2 linked regions of the Canis lupus familiaris genome follow. The protein of the gene in region 2 purifies or fractionates together with the protein of the main gene of each other region. This does not show direct contact. Links are inferred from orthologs where the notes say so. Each region holds a gene or a part of one and is shown on either strand. Other genes may lie near its edges. The genes, in order: SNRPA1 and U2SURP.

Region 1 (16,431 bases), on a different chromosome or scaffold from region 2:
TGCTCTTTGAGGTCAGAAGCTTGTATTTGCTGGGAATCCAGCAAATTTTTGGTTTTTATTTGCAGCCTTTATGGCTACAAATAAAGGAAATGCACTCACTGGAACTGACTTAGGAAAAAAAACAAAAGTGGGTAAGGGCATTGTTTTAGGAATCCAGGGTTAACTTAGAATTCAGGAAGGGTGCAGCTGGGCCTTGGGGCTCCTGGGACCGGCATTAAAGGTAACAGTATTATAGCCTGTCCTCCTCACCTCCCCAGCTGATCGGACAAATAACGAGTCCACTGACACCTCCCAAATGAAACTGGTACAAATCAAACTCCCGAAGCAAACTTTCTGCATCTGCTTCTTGGCCATGGTTACCCTGCTTCGCGTTAGTGTTCACCCAGCCCCCATCGACTGTGGCCACAAGGACGGTTTGTACAGCAGAACATGGCAGCAGGGAGCTTTCCAGAGACCTCAGAGCTGGAAGAAGGGAGCAACATGCAGTTCTCAGCAAGTGGGGTAGGCCACACAAGCTGACAGCTGCCCCCACGAGTGTGAATCGGCTGGAGCTGCCAGTGTGAGGCAGTGATGGAATGAGTGTGTTCGGACCTGGGCAGAATACTGGTAAGGGTTCAACTTTCCCCATGAACCAATTGAATTAAAACCAGCAATGCTAAGTACCTCTGGTGCAGGGACACCATTTCAGCCCCTGGAGCTCTTTTCCCATTGAGAGCAATGGTCTCTCTCACATTATGGGCACTGAGTCAGAAGCAAATTCCTTTTATTCCCAAAGGATCCCAACTATGAGAAGCCAACCAGGCTGCCTCAGAGTGCATGTCCCCTTGCTGCTGTGGCTGGCCAGCTGGTCCTGGGGCTGTGGAGGGTGGTGGCAAGCTGAGAAGCTGTCCACAAAATCCTAGGGACTGGGACACCTGGGTGGTTCAGTGGTTGAGCATCTGCCTTCAGCTCAGGTCGTGATCCCAGGGTCCCGTAATCCAGTCCCCGCCCCCCATTGGGCTCTCCGCAGGAAGCTTGCTTCTCCCTCTGCCTATGTCTCTGCCTCTCTCTGTGTGTCTCTCATGTATAAATAAGTAAAATCTTTAAAAAAAAAAAAAAAAAGTTGTAGGGACAAAACACCACCTTTTTAAAAAGGAGTGACCGCATAAAGTGCCTGTTTGCAGATGGCCCGACTTTAAGGATATTTGGACTCAGTGGGGGTGAGGCACGTTTATGGATTTTGTTTTATAGGATAAAGTCAGGGATCATCTCTAAATCTGTTGTTTTGTAGACTGAGGCTCATAGAGGTAAAGGGACTTGCACTGGGCCACACACTGGCAAGGTGGCTCCCTTGCTGTCTTTAGAGAGAGGGAGGCTGGCTCTGTGTGTGTGTTGTGGGGGGGGGTGGGGTGAGTTAATTCTACGGTTGGCCAAATCCAGCCAGGATGCATTTATTTTAAACTGGCTTTATTTGCAGGAGATGATAGTTTTCTGACCTTGTCTCCATGTGTGCATCTCCATCCCTCCCAGGCCACTGCTGACTTTATATTTTGTAACTCTTGAAAGGTTTGGGGGAAGTTGCACTTTTTAAAGAAGATATACCTATAACAGAAAGGGAGGAATTGAACTTGAAAAAAACAGAAGGTTTCTATAAACCTCTATGGCCAGTCATAGAGAGCACTTGAACTTGGGGGAGACTGCTGTCCACTGCATTTGACTCACCGTAATAGGGCTGAAGAGGGCTGTAAGTTTGAATGCTTGAAGTATGCTGGGACCCCTGGGAGCAGGTGAGGGGAGCAAGGGAGGTCCAGATCTGAGGATGGAAAGGGAAGGGGGTGGAGAAGTGAAACAGAAAGGACATTTTATTTTATTTTATTTATTATTATTATTTTTCAAAGATTGATTCATTCATGAGAGACACAGAGACACAGGCAGAGGGAGACACACAGGGAGCCCAACGTGGGACCGGATCCCCAGACCCCAGGATCACACCCTGGGCTGAAGGCAGGCACCCAACCACTGAGCCACTCAGGGATCCCCAGAAAGGACATTTTAATAAGAACAAAGAGGGATGATGGAAACCAAGGCCATCCTCCAGCATCTTAAGGTTCTTCCCATTAAGCTGGGAGGCATCTGGGTTCTGGCAGCTGTGGGAAAGGGGTCTGTGTCCTACTCAGCCAGCTTTTTCTGCTGCTTTCTTTCCTTGAACCCAGGACTTATCCTTCCTGGCTGCTTGTCCAAGGCTTTTCCTGACACTCCAGGCTCTGTGGTTTGTGCACAGACCAGAATCCCTACATGATACAGCACTGAGCACCTGCCAGAACCCCAGGTCCTGGGGTTCAGTTCCCACCACCCAAAGCTTCCCCCTTTACTGACAGACAGACAGACAAACACACACACACATACACACACTATGTACCAGCCATACTAGGAGTGATCAGATACCTCTAGGCTATCTGTTGAGCAAAGAGGAACCTAAATGCTCAGAGCAGAGAACATTCTGTTGCCAGAAACAGTGGTTCTCAACCTGTTGGTGATTTCCTCCTCCTAGGGGATATTTGTCAATGTTTGGAGACATTTTTGGTGGTCACACATTTTGGTGGATGTATGTACAGCATCTAGTGAGCAGAAGCCAGGGATAGTGTTAAACATCCTTCAGAGCACAGGACAGCCCCACAAAAAATAATTATCTAGCCTCAAAGTGTCAACCTCTCAAATGAGGTTGAGAAACCCCACCCAAAGGAAATGAAACTTAAAAAGGTAATCTCAACTTCATAGGGATGTCGTACAATGAATAAAACCACCTATAGTTTGACTTATGTCCCTCTCTGTTTGCTGAAGTGAGGGAAACTCCTACAATTTCCCTTTAAACCCCCTTTAACCAGAAAGAGTGGCCAAGTAAAACTAGCTCCCTGCTCTAAGGACTCCACCTGGTGGCTCTCTCTGGAATGAAGCGTTCTGGATTATTTTAACTTTTATTTTGAGACAATCTCAAAGTAAAATTACAGAAAAGTTGGCAATAGAGTACAAAGAAATGTTTTCCTGAACGATTTGAGAGTAAGTTACTGATATGATACCCTCTTCCTCCAATGAACTTTATTTTCCTATAGGCAAAGACCTTCTCCTACATAGCCACCAGGATCAGGAACTTAACACTGATGTATTATTACTACCATCGAATCTTCTGACTGGATTCAAGTTTTGTGAATTGTCCCAAAAATGCCCTTAATAAAAGGATCCGCTTTAGATCATTCTTTGCATGCTCTAGGTTCTTTCAACCTAGAACAATTCATCAGTTCCCTGACTTTCATAACCTGGAAACTTTGAGACCATCGGCCTGTTACTTGTAGGCTGTCCCTCAGTTTGTATTTATCTGAGGTTTCCTCACATTTCCATTCAGATCATGCATCTTGGACAGGAATCTCCCAGAAGTGATGCTGTGTTCTTCCAATCCCATTCTAGTAAGTGAATCATTTTTTTTTCTTTTTTTTTCTTTTTTTTAGTAAGTGAATCATGATTTTGATATGTTCCCATTATCGGTGATACTAACACTGATCACTTGATTAGGGTTCTCCTCCCCACCTCTCCTCACCCCAGCCTGTTAAGGATGTCTGCTTCTAGCATTGCCCACAACATCATGCTGAAGATCCCAGCCAGTGAAACTACACAAAAAATAAAGAAAAGACTGATATAGGGCAGCCTGGGTGGCTCAGCGGTTTAGCGCCACCTTCAGCCCAGGGCATGATCCTGGAGATCCAGGATCGAGTTCCATGTCGGGCTCCCTGTACGGAGTCGGCTTCTCCCTCTGCCTGTGTCTCTGCCTCTCTTTTTCTGTGTGTGTCTCTCATGAAAAATAAATAAAATCTTAAAAAAAGAAAAGACTAATATAAAAATTGGAAAGAAATAAAACTATCATTATTCTCAGCATGGTATGTACACAGAAAACCCAAAAGAATGGTTATGAATCATTAGAATTAATATGTGAGTTTAGTAAAATTGCTGGATACAATGTTAGTATTAACTGTATTTTTTTTTTTAAATTTTATTTATTTATGATAGTCACAGAGAGAGACAGAGACATAGGCAGAGGGAGAAGCAGGCTCCATGCAAGGAGCCTGACATGGGATTCGATCCCGGGTCTCCAGGATCGCGCCCCGGGCCAAAGGCAGGCGCCAAACCGCTGCGCCACCCAGGGATCCCTATTAACTGTATTTCAACTAGAAATTGTTGAAATTGTATTTCAGTGTCTCACATTGAATAATTAGAACATGGGATTTGTTTTTTTGTTTGTTTGTTTGTTTTGTTTTGTTTTTTTTCAGTTTCTGGTGCTTCTTTAGCTTTTTGATGTTTATAACAGCAGCAAAAACTATTATATACCTAGGTCTAATAAAAGATGGATAAGACCTCTACATACACACAAAAAAACTATAAAACACTATAAGAAATTAAAATCTAAATTCATGTAACGTTATACCATGTTCATGGATTGGAATACTCAATACTGTAAAGATATTAATTCTCCAAACTTATCTACAAATCCAATATAATATAAATCAAAGCATGTGTTCTTTCCTGGATGCAAAATTGACCTAAAATGTATACTAAAAAGCAAAGGACAAGAACAACCAAGACTTGAGGATCTTTAAAAAAAAAAGGTGTAAGCCTTTTTAAAGGCAAATATCAAGTTTTTTTTTTTTTTTTAAAGATTTTATGTATTTATTCATGAGAGACACACAGAGAGAGGCAGAGATACAGGCAGAGGGAGAAACAGGCTCCCTGCAAGGAGCCCGATGTGGGACTTGATCCTGGATCCCAGGATCATGCCCTGAGCCAAAGGCAGATGCTCAACTGCTGAGCCACCCAGGTGTCCCAAATACCAAGTTTTTAAGTGACAGTACGATATTATGCCAGAATAAGCAACCAAACCCATGGACTAGAATAGCTAGTCCAGAAGCAGACCTTCACATATTTGGACACTTAATTTTTGAAAAAAGTTACTGCAGAACAGTGGGTAAGGGTTGGTCTTTTCAATAAATGATACTGAATCAAATGAATATCCATATGGGGAAAAAAGATATCTTGATCCCTACCCCAGACCATACACAAATGTCTATTCCAGACATACTGCAAATCCAAATGTGAAAGGTGAAACAACAAAACTTTTAGAAGAAAATATTCATGAGTTGGGGGTGGGCAAATTTCTTAAAGAGGACTAAAAAGAACATGAACTACATAAGGAAAAGTTCATAAATTATACATTAAAATTAAGAACTTCCAGGAATGCCTGGGTGGCTCAGTCAAAGCATCTGCCTTTGACTCTGGTCATGATCCCAGGACCCAGGGATCAAGCCCCATGTTGGACTCCCTGCTCAGAGGGGAGCCTGCTTCTCCTCCTCCCTCTGCCGCTCCCCCTGTTTGTGCTCTCTCCTTCTGTTAAGTAAATAAAGAATTTAAAAAAAAATTAAGAACTTCTGTTCATCAAAAGACACCATTAAGAAAAGGCAAGTCACAGAGAGGGGGAACATATTCACTACACATATATCTTACGAGAACTCATATCCAAAAAATATAAAAATCTGCAAATCAGCAAAAAGAACAGCCCAATAGAAAAATGTGCAAAACACTTAAACAGACATTTCAAATAGCAGTGATCTAAATGGACAATATTTTTTTTTAAAGTTCTCAATTGTGTTAGTACTTAAGAAAATACAATTAAAACCACAATGCAATACCATTGCTGACCCACCAGAATAGCCAAAATTAAAAAGACAGACACTATCAAATGTTAATGAGTGTAAATTAGTACAACCACTTAGGATAACTAGTAAGAATCAACTTAAGGTGAATGTAAGTTAACCCTATGATCCAGCAAATCCATTTCCATGTATGTATTAGCATATGTATTCATAGGTGCTGTATTCATAGGTGCACTATTATAATAGGTGTACTATTTTTAATTGTTCAAACTGGAAATTACCCAAATGTTCATCAACAGCAGAATGGATAAATTGGAATATTCACACAACAAAATACTATATAACAATGAAAATAAGTTAACTACAACTAACACAATGTTAAGCAAGAGATACATAAGGCACAATTTTATTTGCATAAATATAAAATTAAGCAAAACCAATCTATGCAAGACGTGGTTACCACTAGGGCAAGAGTGTGACTAAAAGGACAAGAAGGGAGTTTCTCAAATGTGGCAATGTCCTGTTCTTGATCCGGATGCCAGTTACTTGGGTGTGCTTGGTTTGCCTTCTGCTGTGAGTATATCATAATTCAATAAAAATTTCAAAAGGAATGAATTCTGGGGGATGGTAGAGCTACGTGTGAAAGGTAAAACAATTAAGCCTCCAGTAGACAACAGCAACAAAATATTTGGGGGCACATGTACAGACATACAACCCTCTAACCAGAAAGGAAAAGATGAATTGAATTACATAAAAATTAGAAACTTCCAGTCATCAAACAATACCATTAAGAGTGGAAAGGCCAGGCAGCCTGGGGTGGCTCAGAGGTTTAGCGCCGCCTTCAGCCCAGGACCTGATCCTGGAGTCGCAGGATCGAGTCCCACGTCGGGCTCCCTGCACGGAGTCTGCTTCTCCCTCTGCCTGTGTCTCTGCCTCTCTGTCTCTCTCTAGGTCTCTCATGAATAAATAAATAAAATCTTAAAAAAAAAAAAAGAGTGGAAAGGCCTGTAAGCAGAAAAATTTTTTCTGTCCCAGACTACATGACCACAGTGAAACTTTGTCCCAACAAAAGAGGACAAAAGATAGTCAATGCGTAGGGCTTTCTGAGCTAAGCTTTTCCTCTGAGAACTCCTCTTGAACTGGACCATTTGAAACCTTGTTCTCACTGCAAAATGGGTTGAGGAAGCTACTTTAGTAGCCTTTTGATTTGAATTGCAGCCAGATTATGATTTGGTGATCTAGGGAATAGGATGTTATCCTAAACAGAACATAATGGACTATAATTTGTGTTTGCTGCATTGATGACTTGTACAAGGACAGTATTTCTGGTCTCTGCAAATTCTTTTGTATTTAAGCAGTTTTAACCAAAAGAAAAAAAAAAAGTGCAAAAGGAGGCCTCAGAGTGTGCTCACATCCAGCATACATAAAGAAATCCCATTAATCAATAAAAAAAAGTCAGACAATCCAGTAAGAAAAGAAAACGGACCACAGACTTGAATGGGCACTTTGCAAAAGATACCTGAATAGACACCATACATGACAAGGTCCTCAACTTCATTAGTTATTAGAGACAAGCTAATCAAAACAATAGTGCAACACATCCATAAGAATCCCCATAATTATTTTTTATACTAATATTATTTGTTTTTATTATTATTATTTTATTTTTTAAAGACTTTATTTATTCATGAGAGACACACACACAGAGAGGCAGAGACACAGGCAGAGGGAGAAGCAGGCTCCATTCAGGGAGCCTGATGTGGGACCTGATCCTGGGTCTCCAGGATCTCGTCCTGGGCTGAAGGCGGCGCTAAACCGCTGAGCCACCAGGGCTGCCCTACTATTATTTGAAAGAGAATTTGCATGCACAGGGAGGAGCAGAGGGAGAGGGAGAGAGAATCCCAAGCAGGCTCCTGGCTGAGCCCAATGGTCGTGCTCCATTCCACTACCCGAGATCATGACCTGAGCAGAAATCCAGAGTCCCACGCTTAGCCAACTGGGCCACCCATGCACCCCAGTCCCCACAGTTATACTGGCAATACTAAAGGGGCTGAGGTTGGAAGTGATGGAAACCCTCTTGCACACAGCTAGAGTATGTATATTAGTATTATTTCAGCCTCTTGGCCTGTTAGGCATTACTTATTGATGATAGTATACCCTATGCCCAGAAGCTCTACTCCTGGAGAAACTTGGACACGTGTGCATTGGATCCACGTACAACAAAAATGCATAGCGGTATTCGGAACAGCCCCACGACAAAACGATCCTAATGTCCATCAACAGCAGAATGGCTAAATTGTGGTCTGAGATATACCATGGGATTCTGCACAGCAGCGAAAAGTAAACAAACCATTGCTGGATGCAACCTGGGACGGATTCCAGTTATAACACAAAACCAAAGACACCAGGCACGGGAGCACGCTGCGTGACTCTATTTGTATCAAAAGCAAGCAAAAACTAATCTGTGGTGTTGGGATTCCTGGTTGCCTTTGGGAAGGGATGGAGGCTTTCGGAAAAGTGTTCTTTTTTCTGGACCCGGAGGCAGCAACGCAGGTGCGCTCCCTCTGCGGGTATTCTTCACGTTGCAGATTCCTGGTTTGCGCACTCTTCTGTATCCCGTGCTTCTGTTAAATATTTAAATACCTGGAGGTCACAAGCCTAACCGAAAACTGAACTGTGCGCGGGGCAGGGTCGGGCGCGCTAGGTGGTAAGACGATCCCAGCGGGGCGGGCTGTGATCGACCCTGCCCTGGTGGGGCGGGAATCCTGAAGTCCTGAACCTTTCACTGGATCCCCCGGGTGCCCGTCCCTCCTGGGTGGGGCGAGGGCAGACACAGCGTTTCCTCCCGCCTCAAAATGCATTGATGCATGAGAAAGTTCTATTCGGGTGCGATTACATTTTGCTTAACTTGCGGACAAGAGCATCATCAGGAATCAGGGGCCCTCCTTCAAGCACGCCCCAAGGAAAAACCCAGAACCCGAGACACGTTCCGCGCGCTCCAGCAGCTCCGCAGACGACGAGATCGTGGGCGTTGCTCACGATCGATTACTTCGGCCTGGGTGCCGAGCGGCGCGCGCATGCGCCGGCTGCGATTGGTGAGGCCTGGCGGCGGGGCGCGGGGTACGCCGGGAAGTCTGGCGGGCGGGAGGCGGCGGGAAGCAGCCGGTGGGCCGCGGCACCGGCAGCGGCAGCGGGAGGCAGCAGGATGGTGAAGCTGACGGCGGAGCTGATCGAGCAGGCGGCTCAGTACACCAACGCCGTGCGGGACCGCGAGCTGGATCTCCGGGGTGAGTCTCGAGGAGTGGGTGGGCCTTCGCGCCCAGCCGCGTGCTCGGAGGGCCGGCGCTTGGCCCGCGGGCCTGCCTTGTGGGCGCCGAGCCGGACTGTGGCAGCACCGCCCGGGGCTGCGTCTTCCCGGTGCTGCCAGAGACCATCCCTAGGCCCTTCTGAGCCTTGGGTTACCCTCGTTCCTACTCACACGCCCAGCCAGTAGATCGCTTCCTGGTCCACAGCCGAGGGCCTCAGGCAGGCCTTGCTTGGCGTAGTTCTCAGTCTCAACTATTTGAGAGCTGGCAAGTTGTTCGTGCTGGTAACGCTAGTGCGCAGCGGCTGGTTGGTTCTTCGTAAATACGTTCAGGTGTTACTGTGGGAGCGTAAGTAAGAGAACGTGTTACCTGTAATTTGCGAGGGGGGAAATGACGTCGGAGAACAAAAGCGATTGCTTCCGCAAGATTTCTTCCCTCTTCCCTTCAGTTGTCCCATATTTCTCTTTTATCAAAGCATTTGAGGGGCACCTGGGTGGTTCGGTCGGTTAAGTGTCTTTGATCCCCAGGGGTCCTAGGATCCAGCCCCGCATTGGGCTCCCTGCTCCGAGGGGAGCCTGCTTCTCCCTCTTTCTCTGCCCGCTGCTCTCCCTGCTTGTGCCATCTCTCTCTCTCTCTCTCTCTCTCTCTCTGAAATCAATAAGTAAAATACTGAAAGAAAAAAAAAAGGTTTTAAAGAGGCTTGCAGTACAAGTTCCCTGTGTAAGGCGGTAGAAGCTCTGAACTATTCAAATTCACGTAGCCATTTCAACCTTAGTAAAGGCTTGGTGGGAAATTGGGAGTGCAGCTGTCTAATCAGCATATCAAGGAAATGACTCTAGGAATGATGTGAAGAGCAGTTTCTCTGGGAATACAATTTGGGCCTGAGATTTGGCTCCACAGAAGAACACCGTCTGAGGTGCAGCACTGTTGTGGGCTTTGCCTTAAGCTTGGATTCCTTGCTGACAAAGCCAGACTGCTTTCATTTTGTTGAAATTAAGTGTCGCTCTCTTGGCGAAGATTGATCTTTAACCATCTAAGCGTGAAGTGCATCGAGTGTTGAGGCTACTTGTTTTGATATAGCGTTTGCTTTGCTACAACCCTTGTTGCTCTGAATTATGTACTTTAACCTTGGCTTGGATTCGTTTCTTTCTTCCGCCAGCACCTAGCACAGTAGTTATGCCCATTTAAGACAAACTCGTGAGGGTTTGGTGAATTGTTCACAGGGTGATGTATTATTGTGTATAAACTGTTGACCTTCAACTCTGAATTGGAGCTGGGGGAAGTGTACAGTAAGGGAGAACTGTCATGAGATCACAAGGATATCCTGGTAAGTTTTATGTATCTGGCCTGTGGGAATGCAAACAGAGTCAAGAGCTGTTGTCCACAATGTATGAACAAGACTTGGACGCTGACAAAAAAGCAGCTTACAATGTAAATTCTCATTATGCCATTTACCTATTTCTGGAGCTTTGGTTATAACAGCGTGAGGGACCTTAAAAAATACTCCTGCAAATGTTAGCTACCAATATTACTATTAATAAGTGTCGGGTGTTGTCATGACTGACTTCATGTCCACTCCTAGACTGTGGCAGTGGGCCATCTGATCCTTGTTCCTCATTTTATGTGCCAGATACTTGCACAGTGTTTGGCACAGCACAGGTACCAGGTAAACACTTTCTAAATAAATGGAAGCTTTGAGTCAAATTACCATGAAGTACTGCTAAGGTTTTAAGGTATCGTTTAGCCATATCAATACTTGTGTATTTTTTTTTTTCCTTCTACTTTGCAGGGTATAAAATTCCTGTCATTGAAAATCTGGGTGCTACCTTAGACCAGTTTGATGCTATTGATTTTTCTGACAATGAAATCAGGAAACTGGATGGTTTTCCTTTGTTGAGAAGGCTGAAAACATTATTAGTGAACAACAATAGAATATGGTAAGTGTCTGCTAGTGGAGAGTAATTCTCCCCCCGCCCCCCAGAGTAAATATTGCAGCATTCCCTGAAGAAGCCATAGTACATATACTGCCAGTTGAGCCTACGTATTCTTATTTATTTATTTATTTATTTATTTATTAAGATTTTATTTACTTATTCAAGAGAGACTTGGAGAGAGAGGCAGAGACACAACACAGGCAGAGGGAGAAGCAGGCTCCATGCAGGGAGCCCCATGCAGGACTCCATCACGGGTCTCCAGGATCACACCCTGGGCTGTAGGCAGCGCTAAACTGCTGGGCCAGTGGGGCTGACCTATGTATGTCTTTTTTTTTTTTTTTTTTAATGTATTTCTTTTTAAAATGAGAAACAAGCTACACTTTTGCCATATAGGCCCATAGATTAACTTGGTAATGGTCTTGTTTTTATTTGCATTTGTTCAGAAATACTTATATATTCATGGTAATAGATATTTAAATTGCAAATATTCTGTTTTGTGCATATTTTGGCTTCTAAAACTAATTGTAATTATCAGAGGGATTATATTTAGAAGATATGTAAAGTTCAACAATTTTATATAGATAGATAGACTGATTTATTTTAGGGAATGAAAGCCCATGCCTGAGAGCAGGGAGTGGTGCAAAGAGAGAGAAATCCTCAAGCAGCTTCCCCACTGAGTGTAAACCTCCTTGTGGGGCTCTGTTGCAGCACCCTGAGATCGAGACCTGGGCCAAAATCAAGAGTCAGGCGCTTAACTGACTGAGCCACCCTGGCACCCCCAACAGTTATATTTTTGGCTGAATGAATGTCTCTAACTCACACCCTCTGCCATTTGTTTTTCTTTACAACTGATGTTTAGAATTTTACATATATATATATATATATATATATATATATATATATATTTAAGATTTTTATTTATTTATTTATTCATAGACACAGAGAGAGAGAGAGAGGCACAGGCAGAGGGAGAGGCAAGGCTCCTCACCGGGAGCCTGACATGGGACTCGATCCCGGGACTCCAGGATTGCTCCCTGAGCCAAAGGCAGGCGCTAAACCGCTGAGCCACCCAGGGATCCCCAATCTCTGAGTAAATTCTATCAAAAAAAGTTGTTGAAAGTCAATAGACAATGTTTTTAAGAAGTATTAGGTAGTGACTTTCTTATTTTTTTATTTTTAAAGATTATTTATTTTAGAGAGAGCACACACATGCTCAGATGCAAGTGGAGGGAGGGAGGGACAAAAGGGGAGAATCCAAAGCTGACTCTCCAGTGAGCATGGAGCCTGGCACAGGGCTCCCTACCAAGACCCTGAGATCACAACCTGAGCCAAAATCAGGAGTCAGACACTCAACTGACTGAGGCACCTCAATGACTTGCTTTTTAAAAATGTCGTATTTCAGGGGTACCTGGGTGTCTCAGTGGTTGAGCATCTGCCTTTGGCTCAGGTCGTGATCCCAGGGTTCTGGGATCAAGTCCTATATCCAGCTCCCCACAGGGAGCCTGCTTCTCCCCCTGCCTGTGTCTTGGACTCTCTCTCTATCTCTCATGAATAAATAAAATCTTTAAAAAAATTTTTTCTTATGGATTTAACCATTCCCTGATGTAGTTGTTGTTTGTTGTGTACCTGAGGTGTGAATGCAGAGTCACTTGTACTTCTGTGCTACCTGCACAAAAGTTCTACACGGGAGTTTCTTCTTCTCTTAGCTTTCACTAGATAGTGTGGTGATGGAAGGAACCCCAGGCAACCCTTGGGAGGCGTAGGTTCTAAAATCACCCCACTTCCGCCACTAACCTTGTGACCCCAGACAAGGTTTTCCCTTTCATGCTTCATTTTCCCTGTCAAATAGGGTGGTGGAACAAAGATCTCTAAAGTTCTTTCACCTTTAGAGTCTGAAATCTTCTGTTCAAGGATTTAGATAAAATGGTTAGCTTACCTACTTTTTTTTTCACTTTTACAGAAGTCTTTTATTTTCATTTTAGCCGTATAGGTGAGGGACTTGATCAGGCTCTACCCTGTCTGACAGAACTCATTCTCACCAACAATAGTCTTGTGGAACTGGTAAGTCCAACCGGGTGAGGGGGGTGTATTTGGGGGAGGAATTAAAGGTGCTACTTGCCTCTTACAACTTAGAAAGTCCAGAAAGTTTTTTCATCATCCATCATCCTTTATCTTCTTAATTCAAGATCAGGGCCTCGTTCAGTTAAATAGCCTTTTCCACTCTGTAGCTCATCTTTTTTTTTTTTTCCTTTTTTTTTTTTTTTTTTTATGATTTTATTTATTCATGGAGACAGAGGCAGACACAGGCAGAGGGAGAAGCAGGCTCCATGCAGGGAGCCCTATGTGGGACTCGATCCTGGGTCTCCGGGATCCCGCCCTGGGCTGAAGGTGGTGCTAAACCACTGAGCCACCCAGGCTGCCCTTCCTTCGGATTCTTAAAGGAGTACTTAACTCCAAAAGTAAGAGAGCACTGACTGGTCAGGCTGTCTTTTCTAAAATATACCAGATTTTCAACCCAAAATGCACATTCAAAGGAAATGTGTGCCAGGATAGAGGCTGTATTTTTATGTATATTGTATTTATATTTAAAGCTGTTTGTAAAGATGAAGGCTGAGTTTGTGCTATCAGTTACTGGAAAAGGTGTGTTAAAGTCTCATACATTGGGACGCCTGGGTGGCTTGGCGGTTAAGTATCTGCCTTTGGCCCAGGGCATGATTCTGGAGTCCCGGGATCGAGTCCCATATTGGGCTCCCTGCATGGAGTCTGCTTCTCCCTCTGCCTGTGTCTCTGCTTATCTCTGTGTCTCTCATGAGTAAATAAATAAAATCTTAAAAAAAAAAAAAAAATCTCATACATCTTCCTGGATTTGACAGGGAGTTGTATTTTAGTAATGTATTTTGAAGTTCTCTTAGTTGATATACACAAATTTTAAATTGTTAATACCTTCCTGGTAAACTAACCTTTTTAATATTGTGTCGTGCTCCTCTTTATCTTTTTTAGTGATATTTTACCCTGTTTATTTTATCTGCTGTAATTACGCCCAAACAAGCTTTCTTTTATTTAGTATTTGTATATTTTTTTCTATCCGAAATTAACTTCAGGCTTTACTGTAACTTATGTTTTAGATTTATCTCTTGAAAACAGCGAATGATAAGATTGTTTTGTGAAATCCAGTGTGAAGTCTTTCTTTTAAATGAAGTATTTGGTCTGCTTACATTTAATTTAATTACTGGTGTATTTGAGTTTGTCTTCTCACTTTTTCTGGAGGTTATTGTTTGACCCACTCATCATTCATTTCTTTTTCTCTCTTTTACTGTGTTCACTCTGTGTGTGTGTGTGTGTGTGTGTGTGTGTGTCTCTGTGTGTGTCTCTCTGTCATTCTTTTCCTAAGAGTGTAGGAATTACTCATTCCTATTCTTAGTATTGTAGGAACTAAAATACGTATTTATTACAGTTTTGAGTTAACCAATACCTCTAGTTTCTTAAACAATAGTGACCTTAAACATTTCAAACCCCCCACATATTATTTACTTAATTCTGTCTTTAAGAAACCCATCAAGACACTGTTTTCCACAGTTTCTGTGTCTCTGTGTAACAAAAGTTGCCATTCGTTGTTCCTTTTTGTTTTGTTTTTTTGCAGCTTTACTGAAGTTTGAGTGATAAATAAAAATTGTATGTATTTAAGATGCAAAGTGTGATTTTGATAGATGTATAGTTTTGAAGTGGTCACTGTTACCAAACTCACATATTCATCACTCAAGTATTTACTTTTTTATTTGTAGGGTAAGAGTACTTGAGATCTATTATCAGCGAATTTCAAGTATACAGTAGTAAATAGTCCCCATGTCAAACAGAACTTACTTGTCTTATAACTGAAAGTTTGTACTCTGATCAGTAGCTCATTTCCCCTCCTCCCCCACACTTCAGCCTCTAGTAACCATTCTTTTTTTTTTTTTAATTTTTTAAAATATTTATTTATGATAGTCACACAGAGAGAGAGAGAGAAAGAGAGAGGCAGAGACATAGGCAGAGGGAGAAGCAGGCTCCATGCACCAGGAGCCCGACGTGGGATTTGATTCCGGGTCTCCAGGATGACGCCCTGGGCCAAAGGCAGGCACGCTAAATCACTGCGCCACCCAGGGTTCCCAGTAACCACCATTCAACTCCGTGTTGCTGAGAGTTGTTCGTTTTTCTTTAATTATTAGATTACACATACGAGTGAGATCATTCGATGTTTGTCTTTGTCTTCTTTTAGGTCATCTTGTGTATCCCTTTTAGGGGTGACATGCCAGTAGCATGCTCTAGAGCTCCCTCTGATGGTTGATTGTGAAGCCTTTAAAAATAGCAACCAGGGGCAGCCTTGGTGGCCCAGTAGTTTGGCGCTGCCTTCAGCCCAGGGTATGATCCTGGAGATTCTGCATCGGGCTCCCTGCATGGAGCCTGCTTCTCCCTCTGCCTGTGTCTCCGCCTCTTTCTCTCTCTCTCTCTCTCTCTCTCTCTCATGAATGAATAAACAAAATCTTAAAAAAAATAAAATAAAAATGGCAGACTATTTTCTGAACTCCTACTCTGTACCCCTGTACTTTTCTCTCATTATTCCTTTTGCCTTGTCCTCAATTTCAGTCTGGTCCTACCAGTCTATCCTCACTGTAGGGCTTTGTCCTGGAAAGGATACCATTTGTGTTTAGTACGAAGAATGAGGGCCAGAATTGCCCAGTTGCTTCAGGACTTAATGTACTCCTTATTGGAAGATACATAGCTATTGGCTGCTGTTCTCAGACTGAACTCTTGGTCATTTTGGGGTATTCACATTTGTCACAAGCCTTTCTGCTGTCCTGCTGTTGCTTCCTGTACAAATGCTGGCTCCCAAGCCAGTCTTGCAGCTCTCACAATGGTCTGTCTCTACCTGCTAGGATTCTTGCCAGAATGCCTTTTCGTCTAGGTTAATTGTAGTTGTTGACCATAGGCTTTTGGTTTTGCTATCCTTGTTGAGCTGTATCTTATGTGATAATTTGGAAAGAATCAAAAACTAACTTGCCTTTATCCCATAATTGTGTCCTTTTTCTTCCCCCTATACTCTTTGTCCTTGAATAATTATCTAAAGCAGTTTGAGGGAACCTTGAATAAAGGTGCCAGGCCTCAACGATGATATGCCTGTGTCACCACCAGGCATGTCCAGGTACTAGTGGTAAAAACCGCCTTACCCCAAGATCCAGTTTGAGGTTCCTTGTGTGAATAATTTGCTCTGAAGTCACATAAACTTTAATATATTTCTTTTCTAAATAATTCCTTTAAAGTCTAGCCCTTTTGAGCTTGCTACAGGACATATAATTTTTTTGAGGGGGAGGGGTCTCTTAATATTGAGACAGAAGCTGTTATGGCTAGGATTTTCAGTTTAAGAAGTTCAAATCTACTTAACAGTTTAGTCAGTAATTTACTAAGCATCGGTGATGTGCTAGTATTGTGCTAGGTGCTAGGGCATTAAAGAAATAAAAGATAGGAGTCCCTGTTCCAAAG
Region 2 (15,847 bases):
AATATGTAACTTCTTTACATTTCAACCTGTTGATAACCTGTATATAGAATTAACATAACAAGTTTCCCCAGAGAGGAGGAAAATAAGACTACATGGGAAAGATCTCTTCAGTCAAGTTCTTCATGCAAAAACAAAACAAACAAACAGAAAAAAAAACCACCAATTTCAATCCAAAAAGAAATCAACTATTATCTCTCTTTTACTTAATTAAATGTTCCATAAAGAGAAATCACTTCCATACCTTTTTGGGGAGGGGTGTCTTTAAGATGGACAATGACTCAGTAATGCAATCCACTATTTCTTCAGCAGCTTCAGCATTATTAAGACAGAAAACCATTGCATCTCCAATATCATTTTTCCTTGGAGTTAACCCCCGTAGGATTTCTTCTAATTTGTCCCTCTGTCTGAATACAAATGTTTTTAGCTTATAAATATTTACAGATATAAATTTCAAATTCCATTATAGTTTCTGCTCACAAACTAATTTCTTTAAAGCCCAGTTGGATAAAATTCTGAAGACTAAATTGTGTTAAGTCTGATTTAAATCCCCCAAATAGAATACATTTCTTTGAAGAGCTCATGGGGAAAGAATATTTCCTTTGTGAATAAAGGATTCCAGTGATTTTTAGTTTACAAATAAAGTAAATTTTAAATTATGGGCATTTGTTTCAAGAATGTTTGAGAGTGTCCCAGTCCTATTACCCCATTACAGTGGGGGGAAAAAAAAAGGCCTCCATGTTCTTCACTCTCTTTTGAAGTCAGTTACTTTAGCACTTCTGAAATAGAACAGGCTAAAGCAGGTGCTGGCAAACTTGGTAAAGGATCATACAGTATATATTTTAGGCTTTACAGGTCATATAGTCTCTCTTGTAGTTACCTGATTCCACTGCTATTAACATGAAAAAAGCCATAGACAACATATAAAGGGGGTAGGGGGGATCATGATTGTGCTCCAATAAGTCTGTTTACAAAAACATGAGACAGCCAGATTTAACATACAGGATGAGTTTGCAGATCCCTGGGCAAAAGTAATGATGAAAATACCTCTTCAGAAGCAAATATGTTTCAAATACATATAGCTCTGCATTAGCAAATGCTTTTACAAACAATGCATCAATGCAGCTAGTATTCAGAGCATACGCCACAATCTTTTAGCCGATTTTTTCCCATGAAGCATACAGAACTTCCTCTTAATACTTAATAGTACTTGTTTCTGCTTCTTAAACCAGACTAACTTCACTGTACCCATGCTGACTGAACTGAAGACTAACAAATATGTTTTCATGGTGGCCACACACTGCAAACTCTTGTGGAAAGACTGCATAACCAACCATCAGACTTCACAAAGCTCTACAGTAATTTTTTCTTCTTTAATGTTGCATTCAGAGAGCCAAGAATTCTAAAGGTCCCAAGATAATTTCTGTAAGAATCACAAATACTTCACTGCTAGAGAATCATTGCTAAGAGATCACCACCAACCGATGAGAGGTTTAGAAGGTTTTTTATCAAAAGGAGAGAAAAAGGTCAAAAGGACACACACTTATACTTGCCAGGACATTTCAAATTACATAGCACATGATGAGAAATGTTAATATTTTAATCATTCACACAAGTAAAAGAAAAAACATTTTATTTTAGGGCTAACATCTCAGTAAGACCATTAATTAAAGCGATTATTAAAGCAACTTTTCTGAATATGTAACAGGAAAAGAAAAAATTCTTACTCTTCCTTAAGTGCTCCCTTTTTACTGGGCTCCTCTACAAAAGCTTCTGTTTCTTGCTCTTCTGACATCCCATGCAGGTATGGATTTAATGGTGGTGGCCTCCAGAAAGACCCATTTTTGAACATACGAAAATCTTCTGTCCGCCACTTAGTTGGAGAATCTCCCTAATAAATGTCCAGAATGTTATTAGAAAGGCAAAATATCTCAGAGCTAAAGTTAACAAAGTTTTGATTCCACTTACCTGCAGAATAGAATAAAGCTTCCACCTATAGTAAACATGGGCTGGTGTCTGGTTTTCAAATAAGAATCTAAAACAAAACAAACAAAAAATTAAACATCATACACTTTAACAAAGAAATGTCTTCAATTAAATGTAAACAAATGAGAAATATTATTTGCCTATTTCATTTTAAATAAAACCAAAAGCAAAGATCCCTAAAAGAAATCCTCACCCACTGCCTTCTGCCATCTATTCCCTTCTTCACCCTAGCCCCCAGACTGCCTTTGTGATGAACATTAGTTCTCAGAAGGTATGTATGCATCTTACTGAGTCTTACAACCAATTTTATTGAACACTTATGTCAGGTATTATATATGGCAATGGATTTTCCCAAAACAGAAATTTCAAAAGGAGCGGGTTTTAGAAGACTTAGGAGTGTTAAATAAATGTCTTAGATACCATACCTATCAGAAGATAAGCAATTTTCTATAAAGCTCTATTGTTCTACTATGAAGAACTCTTTCACTGGAAAACATAAAGAGTAGTATTTTCCTCCCAGAGACTGCTAAAACCAATGTTATTTAATTAACCTAAATTAAAATCAGATGGAAAACTGACCCAAGTACATCCAGTCTAATTACTAAAACTACCTTCTCAACCCATTGCAAAAATCATCACACACTTTTAGAACTTTATTCTTGGAAATATTTTTAATTCCAAAAAATAAGTTAAAAGTATTTTTTAAGTGCACACCTGAGGATAAAAAACGTGGTAAATACATGCAATGGACTAGATTCAGCTTTAAAAGGTAAAGAAATTCTGATACATGCTTCGACATGGACAAATCTTGAAGATCTGCTTAATGAAGTGAGTCTCAAAGTACAAGGACTGAATGATTCCACTTATATGAGTTAACTAGAGTAAATAAATTCAAAGAGACAAAGTAGAATGGTGGCTACCAGAGGCTGGAAGACCCAGGATATAGAGTTACTGTACAAGGGGTACAATGTCAGTCATGGGAGATGAGAAAATTTCTAGAGATAGTGGTGACGGTTTGCACGAAAATGTGAACGCACTTGATGTCACTCAACTGTACATGTTAAAAATGGCAAAAATGGTACATTTTCTATTATTTGTATATTTTACCACAATAAAAAAAATGCACACCTGAACATAGGATTGTTGATTTCTCTGTTCATAATCATAGCTTCAAACATTGGCCCTTCACGTACAACAAACTCTATCATTCGATGTATCAGGGCGAGCAAATTCCTACAACAACAACACAGTTAAAGAAAATGGATTCAGACCTACCACTATATAAAACTATACTTGACCTAAGTTACTATAAATGTGCAGAAAAAGATTATTCTGCTGACTAATACAAAATTTTATGCCAAAAAATAACCTGGAGCATATGTTAATGCCTTGTGCATTAAGAGGGAGTGGGACAATGGGGATAAGGGAGTGGGAGGGGAAGGAAAGGTGAAGGGAAGGTGGGAAACCACAACACAGCTTCATAGCAATAAATATTTTTTTCTAAATGCCACTTAATTTTATTTTCCAAATGCAAAACATTAAATTATGAATCACAACTAATTGGAAAGCTGCAAATATATAAAATCAGTAAACTTACAGCTTACATGTTATCATAGCCATCTAAAAACTTACACACTATCTCAGTTTTAAAAGAAAATATTCCTAAACCAAGCACTTTTGTGGTGGTATTGAAATGTTATATACATGACTATAATTTGTAAAAAATGCAAAACTAATTAACAAGTTTAAGGCCTGATTTAATAAAAAATCCATCCAACTCTAGTGCTTTTCTGGTACACATACAGCAGACAGAGTTTTTATTGAATCTGACCTTTAATGAGGCAACATCCCTTTGGATCACACTTCAAATGGTTCATACAACTCATGACATGTATAATTCTGCCTGAATATTATGACTCAATGAAGCAATTATATTGCCAAAGCCTTAAATGGAGTCCTCTTTCCAAAATATTCCAAAATAAGGGACATGGTGAGATGCCTTTCCCATTTTTCAGAACAATTACTTTCCAATATTTAAGCCAAAAAGAAACTTCAATTTTTTAGTAGTCATTTTATTGGCTGGGTTCATAAGAAAATCTTTATTTTGAAAATCTAGGTTCTAAAATCATGTGACATAAAACACTATTTTAGACATTGATTACAGCATCTAGCAAAAATGACTCAGCTTATTATAAGCTGCTTTTGACTTCTCACTTCACCAGTCCCCAGCATATAGAGTAAGCAAATGGTAATTGGGAAAAGCAAAAGGATATTGGCTCTTGGTACAAGGCACACACTAAATTACACCTTTAGCATTCCCAGCTCAAATTAAGTTCATGTAATTGCTAGAATATAAATAGATATGTAGTTATAGAATAAGACAGATTTTTTTGGCTCTATAATGCCCTGCTTCAGAGTACATAAACAATAAAATAATTTATCTCATGGTCACTGTAATTATTTTCTCACAATTCAAACCAACCTACTTAAATGAACACTAAAATCTCTATATGGTGAAAAAATTTAATTTTTTTGACCTCCACTAGGTCAAAAAAATTATACGAAAGTTTAAATCTTTAATAAAGGGGAAACTAATATTTAAAACTATTAATTCAACCTCAAATTGTTAAAACAAACAAAAAAGCATCACTGAATTTTATATCTAAAAATTACTTGTCTTTCACAGAAGTATTAATTATTCTGCAAATATGCAGCTCTTGATATCCAAATGAGAATGTATTCTCAGCACCCATATAGGTATATTATTTTGAGAGAAGGGAGATAATGTAAACTTATGATTCAGTTCCAAAACTCCTGCTGGTATATGTCAAATTCAAGTGAAGGGATATTTTATGCGAATATCGTAATATATAAAATCAATTACTGGGGGACAAATACTATACATCCAGAAACTTGTATGAATTAAGTCAAATGCAACTTGACTTGAATATTATAAATGAAAAATGGTTTAGCAAGTTTAAACAAAGGATTCACTGTAATGGTGAGTTAAGAAGCTTCAACAAAATGTATACTCAAATTTTAGTTTAGAAATAAGCTGAACCACTGTAAAGCTACTACTGGAATATGCTTTTTGAATGCTACAAAAATACTTTCCTCTGAATGCTTTATCAGTGGAAAAATAACCCACTATAGTTTTAAACAGGCTTGTAAACTGGTAAAATGTATTTTTAGAAAATTTAAAGTTTAAAAGTTTTAAAATGTTTCATGTGATTATTTAAAATCAAAATCTGACAATTAGTTGTTACTAGCTTGAATTCAAGATTATTAAAGAATTGTAATCACATTTTTATTTAAAGATTGTGTATTTAACATCATTTTTAAAAGGGTGACTTTTCTATCAGAATGAAACAGTGTAGTACAAAAAGATGATATATTTTAAAGTGCATTATTTTATTTTAAAATGGCAATTATCTTACTCTGGGCAACAATAACAAAAAAAAAAAAAAACCAAAAAATTGTCTCTAGTTATAATAAAACCACATTTATTGGAGTCGATCGTACCAATGTCTGGTCAAAAACTGTATACTTTCCCAATCCATCCCATGATGTTTTCCTGGTCCCCCGCTGCCGCAGACAGTTCAGCTGGTGTTGCTCACCAAGGCCAATGTCAAAGAGAATTTGGTATTCTTTTGTGTTCATTTATTATTCAACCAGTGTTGTGTTCCTGTGTTTGGGAAAAGGCTTAGCTTGACTGAGCAAGAGCATACCTAGAGCATGAATTCTTCTGCTTTATCATTATGTTGAAAAAGAAAAAAAGGAAGAAAGGAAAATAAAAGAATTCCAAACACCTTTGTTACCACGAAAAAAATTTCTAGTATGTTCAGTGTTCATGAAAATAATAGGAATTCCTAATCAATTAGAAAAAACCAAAGCTATGCCCTTCCATAAGGAGAACTCAAACTAAGGTTGCATATTAAACACAGTAATTCAGGAACCAAGAGAAAAAAAACAGATTGGGTCAAATTGTAACATTATATGCAATTTAAGATACATTAAAACACCTATTTTCCCATCACAATAGTCTAATATTATCAGGCTAACAACTCCAGATTAAATCAAACACATTCTAACTACTAAAGCTATAAAATTCCCTACTTTGACAACAATAAAAACAAAAAGATAATGACATAAAATTGCAAAGTATACTAGAGTTAGTCACATATCCCCCCAAAAAAGTACTGGGAAGGAACCATTGCTCAGTCAAGATATTACCTTTTCCTCAACACCAGTTTTTTTTTAATTCAGAAGGGGATATTGTCTATATTTAGATCAGTAATAATAAAGAAAAACATGTACCTTTCTGTTGGGATAACCACTTTGACTATGGCTTGCGACAGAGTCTGTATATGAAGTCACATCAGATAATAAACATAGAATATGTGAGTATTGTTAACAAGTAACAAGCAAAAATATACATAATGCATTGAAAACACTACACATCTAATCACAAAGTTTTGCAGGCAATCACTGCATTTGAAGTAATTATACACTAAGCAATTACATAAATGCAAATGGATGTGTTCAGTGAACAATAACTGTTCACCAAATGCAAAGAATCAGAACATTCCTGCCAGAATGCACATCAATGCACTGAAATAGGTACTACACCGAGAATTATCAGATAAAGATTTTAATTTGTGAAATAATTAACTGTTTGCCTCTGACCATACAGTTTGCTACTTTGTTCCCAAGCCTTTAAAACCAGCCCTGTCATTTTAAGTGTAATTATTTCATAATAGAACCAACAAATTCTTATAAACTTGAAATTAAGTTGGTTTTATGTTTAATAAAAAGAAAATACTCACCCTTTGCTTTTAACTAGAGCAGTTAACTGTTTTAAAAAACCACATACGCTCTCAAATACTCTAACATCTCAGATCCTGAGAACTAAGTTAGCTAGCAGCCATCCAAACAGTTTAACTATTTAGGTTTTTCTAATTGAAAAGTCACTTAACCAAATACAAAATATCACTTTCTCAGAACAAAGTAAATTTAGATACTGCACTTAAGCAAACCTGGATACAACAGTGGACAAAAGGGAAAAAAACTTAAGTGGTCAAAAAAGGAATGGTAGCCACAAATAAAAATATGACCTAGTATTTCAATATAGGGTTTCCATGGGCTAAGGCAGGGAACACATCTACTTATTTCTTTCAGAGTTGTCAAACAGAATTACACACACACTTTCTATAAAATTATTGAAAAGAAAGACTACCACAGATTTAGTATTTACAAATTAAGATGCGGCCCTATGTACATTTTTTAAATTACCTTCTCAAAATCCTCCTTGTTTTTAGGTGGCGGTAACATTGGAGCATTGGGGTTTTTTAACCTCTCTCTAGGCTGCGCATTAAAAGGCAGTCCTGATGGAGGTGGGGGAAGTGTATGTTCCATCATAGAAGGCGGAATGTATATTGGATGTGGAGGAATAGGCACAGCTTTACCCCAACCTAACTTCATTTCAAAAGACATAATCATCTTTCCTACAAAAAAGAAAAGAAAGGTCACCCTGGTTAACTCTCAAAAGAAAAAATTTCTGTTAATTTGAATTATTTTTCATGTTTAACCTTTCCAGTTCTGGTCCATTTTCCCCCTAGAGGTGTTTTGTTTGTTTGTTTTAAAGATTTTATTTATTCATTCATGAGAGACACACAGAGAGAGAGAGAGAGAGAGAGAGAGAGAGAGAGAGAGGCAGAGGGAGAAGTAGGCTCCATGCAGGGAGCCCGACATGGGACTAGATCCCGCGTCTCCAGAATCACATCCTGGGCTGAAGGTGGCGCTAAACTGCTGAGCCCCCAAGGCTGCCCCCCCCCACCCCGAGTTTTTATAAATACTTTTCAGAGCCAGGAAAAAAAGTGAATTCTATAGTAGACAATAAAAACTTTCTTACCATTTAAATTTTTTAAAGCTCTTTCAGCATCTCTTCTATTCATAAAAGCCACAAAGCCACAATTTCTCTCTCTTGCTCTTTCTTCATCAGTTCTAGGCCACATAATTTTCACACTGGCTAAGGGTCCAAATCTTCCAAATTCTTGACAAAGCATTTCTTCATTCATCTATTAAAAAGCATATGAGGGGTTTTTTTGGTATGCAAATAAAAGGGGGAAATTCTATCCAAAAGCAAGCAAATGTTTACAAAATGAACAGTGAGACATATCAATGCTACAATTTTCCACTGAAGCACCAGGACCTCTATACAGTAAAATCTTGCCCTCAGGTGACATTCACAAATCTTTTCATACCAGAAACACAAGTGTTCAGGGTGAGGAGGCTTGGTGGCTAAATAAATCAAAAGTACACCTCTATCTAGCTCTCCTCCTGTTCCTTTTGAGATCTTGCATATTTAAAATAAGCTGTTCTTCGGCACTGGTTTGTTTTTGCATTTAGCAACGTTTATCAGGCAACAGTGATTATCACATTTAAGACAAGTAAAAAATATATGTTGGTAATGAAAGCAAAAAAAAAGATCTGATCACTTTCTCTTTTTCCAATACCCAACATTATCAAGAAGAGAGAAAAGAGTAAATACACAATGAGGTCCAAAACATACATAATTTAAAAGAGCATATTATGGATAACTACCACTACATTCTTCATAACACAAGTAACGCTGAAGTGAGGAAAAGAATTAAGAAGAAGCACAAATTACTAGTTTGCTATCGTGAAAAGAAAAAAGAAAAAGGATATCATTAAGGAAGCAAGCTATGCATAAGGTAGTCTCAAAAGAGCACTGTCCACCACAGATCATGATTTGATAAATAAAAAAAAATCAGTACACAGTAAGACATTTCAAATTCAGACAGTCTAGTCAGAGAAAGACGAGATAAGCACTGTGGCAAGACAGTTCAGCCATATCAACAAGCCTCAATTTTATAAGATAATTTTAGAGACTTCTATAGTTTCTGAAGTTCCATCAAGTCTGCTTACTTCAGGTGCTTGATTTTATTTTTTCATTGACAAGGCAGTTTTCTTCCATAATTATAAAAAATATGAGCCAATGTTCATCTAACTTTTCTAATATTACCTGTGGATTAATGTTTCCAAGATATAAATTAGTAGTGCTTGGATCTCCTACATCATGTGAGCCAGGTGCATAATCATCAAGAACTAGGACAAAGAGGGGGAAAAGAATTATAACCTGCAAACTACAAAATTTGGACAATTTCTATTAATTAAAAAAGCAAAAAACTGTATTACCACCAGATGATCTATTTCTTCTGGAAGGCGCATCCACTTTAAAGGAAGGAAAAGAAAACAGTTCTTAGTTTTTTAGAATAGTTAATCACAAATATAAACATTAAAATAAATGCCACTTACTAGAACGACGCTGACCATCAGAATCTGACTGAGGAGGCTCAAATCGGCTTAACCTGCCTTTTGTCTTATGTCTCTCATCACGCTCTTCCTGAATTCTGTTGAAAACATTTGTTATCACTAATAATGAGCCAAAAGTTGTTCATTCACAGTTATTAAGAATATAAGTTATCCAGGTACCATGTTCATATAACTTGAAATATTTGTAAGTAATTAAATGCCAGCACTAACAACCGAGATTAGAAAGAAAGTCCCTCAGCTATTAGTCATGAGCAAATTTCTGATATGTCATGCAAGCATTAGAATACAAAACCCACTTCTAAGGTGAGGAGCAAATTCAACATTAAAACCACTGAATCTGTCCTTTCTTGGTTAAGTTTGCTCACTCCTCACCCCTACCTCAGTGACTACATTGTTTCCACTGCAAACAGGACTCCGGACATTAGATAAATCAATTGAATTGCATCCATATTTTGTTACCAATCTAGATGCTGGATGACATGCTAATACATTTTCAAAAACACCCTAAAAAAATCACTAATATCTAAAGCAACTTCACCATAGGTAAGGGAGTTAGTGATAGCTAACTGGTACACTATACCTGCTTCTCCATACCTGCTTCTCTAAGTATCGGCTCAATATACCTATGATAACCATTCTCCATACTATAAAACTTACTGTTTCAATTCTTCTTTGAAGAGTTCCAAATTGCTTTTTTTCTTTTCTTTCTCCCCTTTCTTCAGTGGCTATGAAGGATATGACAAGTTATACTTCAAACAAAAATGGTTAAACAAAACTAATGGTTCAATAATCAGATCATTTTAAATAATTTTTATTTTAGTGCCAATTATGTTCAAATTAAAATGAATGCTTCTGTTCTCACTGCATTTCCTTCCTGTTCTCTCGAACTAAGAATTTAACAATTTGATTATTAAAGCAATTAAAGAAAATGACATGCAGCAGTCTTAAAGTAAAGCAGCCACAAACTTTATCTCCCAAAAGCCTGTGATACTTAGGCCTGAATATTGTTAGAGGGAATCAGGGGGCAAAACTAATGAACATAAAGGAATTGAACTGCCAAGTAACCACCATGAGCAACTACCAAAAATACGCTCTTCAAAACAGTCACCTTAAGAGGACTACGAATTATTGAAATAATCAGTAACATCTTTGGAATTCCTCTTTAAAAACTACTTTTGAGGGGCACCTGGGTGGCTCAGTGGTGGAGCATCTGCCTTCAGCTCAGGTCCTGATCCCAGAGTCCCGGGATTGAGTTCCATATCAGGCTTCCCACAGGGAGCCTGCTTCTCTCTCTGCCTATATCTTTGCCTCTTTCTTTGTCTTTTGTGAATAAATAAAATCTTCTTTAAAAATCTAAAAATAAATAAATAAAACTGCTTTTGAAATCGCTCTCTTAAAAGTGCCAAAATAATTTAAGGGGGAAGAAATAGCCTATTTTCACAAAAAGTGTGAGAACCATCGAATATCCACATGCAAGAAGAAACTGGGGTTGGAACTCTTCTTCTCACCACACACAAAGATTAACTCAAATGACTCAAATACCTAAATTTAAGCACTAAAACTATAAAACTCAAAGAGAAAAACACAGGAATAAATCTTCAGGATTTTGAGGCAATAGTTTCTTAGATATGACATTAAAAGCACAAGTGACATAAAAATAAAACTGATAAACTCACTTTCATTACAATTAAAAACTTTTGAAAAAAAAAAAAAAAACAATTAAAAACTTTTGTGCTTCAGGGTGGCTGGGTAGCCACCTTGGGTGGCCCTGGGTGGGCCTGCCTTTGGCCCACAGCGTGATCCTGGAGTCCCAGGATTGAATCCTGCATCAGGCTTCCTGCATGGAGCCTGCTTCTCTCTCTGCCTGTGTCTCTGCCCACCACCCTCCCTCTGTGTCTATCATGAATAAATAAATAAAATCTTAAAAAAAAAAAAAAAAAACCAACTTTTGTGCTTCAAATGACACTATCAATAAAGGACAAAGACAAATCACAGAATGGGAGAAAACGTGTGCAAATCAAATAGCTGATAAAAGACTTGACTTCAGGAAGCATATAATACTTTTACAGCTTAATAATAAAAAGACAACAAATCGCCCAATTAAAAAATGGGTCAAGGATCTGAAAGACATTTCTCCACAGAAGACTACAAATGGATGATATAAACATAAAAAGATGCTCAACATCATTAGGGAAGTGCAAAACAAAGCCACAATTAGGTACAACTTCACACTCACTGAGATGACTAAAATTTTAAAAATAGAGAATTTTAACAAGTGTTGGTAAAGATGTATAAAAATTAGAACACTCATATGACGCTGATGAGACTATAAAATGGTATAGCTAATTTGAAAAAGTTTTGGCAGTTTCTTAAAAGGTTAAACAAATTAATTACCATATGACCTAGCAATTCCACTCCTAGGTATATATAAGAGAACTAAATACATAAGTCCACAAAAAAAAGCCTACGTACAAACGTTTATAGCAACATTATCCATAATGGCAAAAAAGTGGAGACAACCCAAATGTCAAGTGATACACAGATAAACAGTATGTGTTATATCCATAAAACAGAATATTATTCAACTATAAAAAAGAATGCAGTACTAATGTGCCAGAATACAGATGGACCTTGAAATATTATGCTAAGTAAAGAAGCCAGAAACAAAAAGCCACATGTTGTATGATTCCATCTGCATGAAATGTCTCAAACAGGCAAATTTCATACAGACAAAAAGTAGATTAGTGTCTGCCAGGGGTAAGGGGTGACTAAAAATAGGTATAAGGTTTCTTTCTGGGGAAATAAAAATGTACTGAAATTAGAGATTAGTGATTGCTGCACAACTGTGAATACACTTTAAAAAATAACTGTATACTTTATAAATGGTAATGTGAATTACATCTCAATAAAACTGTTTTTTTTTTTCCATTGCTTTCAGAGCTATTTTCCAAGTCACACTAGAGAAGTGAATCTCATCATTCAATGTAATCATATTCCTTCACCAGTGAGGCTCCAAATGACATGACCCACATCTATCTTCTGACCCCCATGAAAAATCCCACCATCAAAAAATAAAAAATCTTCTAACACTGAGAATATTTAAAAGAAAGTGCCACTAGCTCATAGTAATTCCAAATAAAATTCAAAAATGTGCCTAGGCTAAAGATACATTATTGGAATACGTATAAGTCTTCCAAGGTAACTGCCACTACACATGTTGGTATTATTTCAGTTCAGGATTACTTAAAAAGACAAACCCGTTATTTTATATTTATACCTATAGTCAACATTTTACTTGCAGTATACTCTTAGTATAACACCAAAGGTTCACTGCTCAAAGAATATAAGAAGAATATTGCCTACATGCCCTACTCTAATTTATGAACTCTTCTCTAGGAAGATTAAACACCAAAACTCAACATCTACTCCCAAAATAATTAAAAACAAGAAACCAAAGTCCTGCTTACAGTGGAAGTACTAAAATATCATTGGCAGTATGATCTCTGAACATAAATAGTCACCTATTTAATTATGACTTACAGGTTTTTTGGTTTCTATCACAAGAAGAGACGGTGGTCTTTCATTGGATGACTGATTTGGAGGATTTTTTTGATCTGCAAATCTTGAAGATGGTTTATAAATTTTACCTCTTTTTTCATCTGTTTCATGTTCTTCTGAAATTTAAAACACTAAGTTTCAAAACTAATTTTCAAAAATAATTTATTATTTGGAGTTTTATTATTTTTTATTTGAAAATGAACAGAAATTAGTAAAATGCTTTTAGCACTAAGATATAATATGAAATTAAATTCACATTACCTACGACCTTGCTCTCAAAAATACTAATTTAATCATTTTATAGTAAAACTATGAAATATATTAAAATTTTTGCAAAGTGCTCTGCTATATTCAACACTGAAAGGTACTAAATATTTTTAAAATTTATCTGGCTCCAATTTCTCGTTAATCCACATCTGGCCATTTATTCTGCTAATTAATGAGTAATATCAACACTAGAGGGTGCTGATAAAAAAGAAATGTGAAATTCAAAAGACACCAAACATCTTTCATAATTGCCTACAGTCATTCTACCAAGAATTTTTGGTTTTGTTCAAGGATTATAATATTGACACTAACCTTTAGCTGCATTAACCACACCTCCACGCACAAATGTCTTCACTTTATTACCATCACTTCCTTCAAAAGCAGCAAGAAATTCCTCATAAATCTCAGCAGCTGCCTTTTCATCTTCCTAAATACACATGAAGATATTAATATCACTTAAGATGAAAATTACTATTGTACACGGGGTGAAACTCATTAGGGAATAATGTAAATAAAACCTTTCCCTTCACTAGGAAAACCTAATAGTTAATAATATCTAATGTTTAGTAGATATTAGATACAAATTAACACTGAAACTAAGGGAGACTTTGATCCTCTACTGGCAATTTATGAAACCAGTAAAGGACCCAGTAAGTAAATTTGTTTAGAGACATCAAAAGTCAAACTGTATGACAACTAACCATATAAAACATGTAACTCCATGTTTTTGACATTTTCAAAGCATGACAATTTAGTTATTATAAAGATTTCCCTCAGAAACCATGAAAGACATAAGTATTAGAAGTTGAAGCAGCAATAACCCTACAGTTGGCATTAGGAAAAAAGCTCAAAAAGAACCTGGACAATTTCAATTATAATTCTTCTCAATGTACCCAAAACATGTATGCATAAAAGGCCAATGGAACAGAACAGAAAATAGAGAAGTAAGTCCAACAACACTAGGAAATTTAGTATTCAATAAAAGGAGCATCTCAAATCAATGGAGAATAGATCAACTTTTCAATGATGTTGGGATAACTTGATAACTATTTGAAAAAATAAAAATAAAAATGAACCAGTTCTCCACATCATATACCAAGGAAAAACTGCAAATGAACCAGATTTAACTTTTTTTTAAGTGAAACTATTAAAGTATTACAAAAAACATGAGGAAATTTCTTTACAAGCTCCAAGAAAGAAAAACACTGAAAACTAGAAATCTTAAGGAAAGTTGTATAACAATAAACAATTTCTGCATGGAAAAAAACACAAGCAGCAAAATAAAAAAACAATCGACAGACTGGGAAAAAACACTGCACCTTGTGTCATAGACCAAGTGTTAATATATTTAATATACAAAGTTTCTAAAAACAGAGATAACCCAATAATTTCTAGAAAGACTGGGTTAGATATACGCAGACAGCTAGCTCACAGAAACACAAAAGCTGTTCAACCTTACTTACAAGAGAAATGTAAATTTAAAACTACATTGAGATACTATTTTTTACTGAGCCAACTGGCAAAACTTTAAAAACATCCTCTGTTGGTAAGGCTATAGGTAAACAACCTCTCATACATTACTGAGAGTAGGTGGAAAATGGCCCTGGCTTTATAGAGAGCAATTTGTCAATATTCAACAGAGCTACATTTATGCATTTACCATTCAACCCAGTAATCTCACTTACAGGTATATATCCCAAAGATAAACTAACAAAGAAACTATATGCATAACACTATCCATTAATAGCATTATTTGTAATGGCAAAAGACCAAAACAAAAATGCCCAACAGAGTATTAGTAAATAAGTACTGTATGTCTCTACACAGCTATTTAAAAAAACAAAGGAACATTTCAATTATACCTGCAGTAATCTCTGAGATACAATGTTAAGTGAAAAAAGCAAGATGGAGAAAAGTACACTGTATATAGCATATTACTGATCATCTGAGAAAAAGGAATACAATATATTTTTACACACACTTGCTTATCAAAAAGAATAGACCAGAAAATAACCAAGTCTTACACAGAAGAAGCCATGGAGGGGACAGGGATACAAACAGGACTCTTCTAAACGTACCTTGTGTTACAGAGTTGACTTGGTGGTGGGAGCTGAGAATACCCCGTTCAAGAATCTTTGAAAAGTATTTCTCTACACCCCCTGCCTTACTTTGACACCATTTCCAAGGATAACTCAAAATATAAACATTACCTTTTTCTTTAACTCTTCTTGTTCCTTCTTACTTAAGGTTCGCTTAGCTGTACTCATTTTTCCAATACTGAATGCTTTAAGTTTGTTTTCGAGAAGAGGCTATAAAAAGAAGTAAAAAGCATACCTTTACACACACATTCTTAATGCTATCTATAACTCAACTGGTAACCAACTCTTCAGATTAGAGGACTTTTAAAAAGAAATTTCACAGTAAAGCAGAAAAGCTGAGGCTATTCTTAAGCATTCTTAAGCTATTCTGAAGTGCCTACCTTGGGCTTGATTCTCATGTAAGTATTTCTTAAAGAATGTCTTCATTTGCTAGCTAAAGGTTAATAACATACAAAAGCCATTTTCTTTTAAAAAGGTAAAAAAAAAAGGGGGGGGGGCGGAAATCCCTGGGTGGCTCAGCGGTTTAGCGCCTGCCTTTGGCCCAGGGCGCGATCCTGGAGTCTCGGGATCGAGTCCCACGTCAA

The links.
Region 1: the proteins of U2SURP (region 2) and SNRPA1 purify together in Homo sapiens (affinity purification with mass spectrometry; 5 studies listed by BioGRID and IntAct, with this or other methods). This does not show direct contact. The link is inferred for Canis lupus familiaris from reciprocal best matches to the Homo sapiens genes U2SURP and SNRPA1.

Annotation. Positions count from the first base shown.
Region 1 is NC_049224.1:40,132,398-40,148,828, forward strand, and holds the start of SNRPA1 (U2 small nuclear ribonucleoprotein A'), read left to right. Parts: upstream 1-8,776; 5' UTR 8,777-8,880; coding exon 8,881-8,962; exon of another isoform or gene 8,963-9,479; intron 9,480-10,769; coding exon 10,770-10,917; intron 10,918-12,896; coding exon 12,897-12,975; intron 12,976-16,431. UniProt on the Homo sapiens protein: Involved in pre-mRNA splicing as component of the spliceosome. Associated with sn-RNP U2, where it contributes to the binding of stem loop IV of U2 snRNA.
Region 2 is NC_049244.1:39,145,403-39,161,249, reverse strand, and holds part of U2SURP (U2 snRNP-associated SURP motif-containing protein), read right to left. Parts: intron 15,474-15,847; coding exon 15,375-15,473; intron 13,592-15,374; coding exon 13,477-13,591; intron 13,014-13,476; coding exon 12,880-13,013; intron 10,065-12,879; coding exon 9,997-10,064; intron 9,417-9,996; coding exon 9,322-9,416; intron 9,238-9,321; coding exon 9,202-9,237; intron 9,112-9,201; coding exon 9,029-9,111; intron 8,061-9,028; coding exon 7,895-8,060; intron 7,488-7,894; coding exon 7,276-7,487; intron 6,345-7,275; coding exon 6,301-6,344; intron 3,217-6,300; coding exon 3,112-3,216; intron 2,033-3,111; coding exon 1,966-2,032; intron 1,889-1,965; coding exon 1,725-1,888; intron 405-1,724; coding exon 242-404; intron 1-241.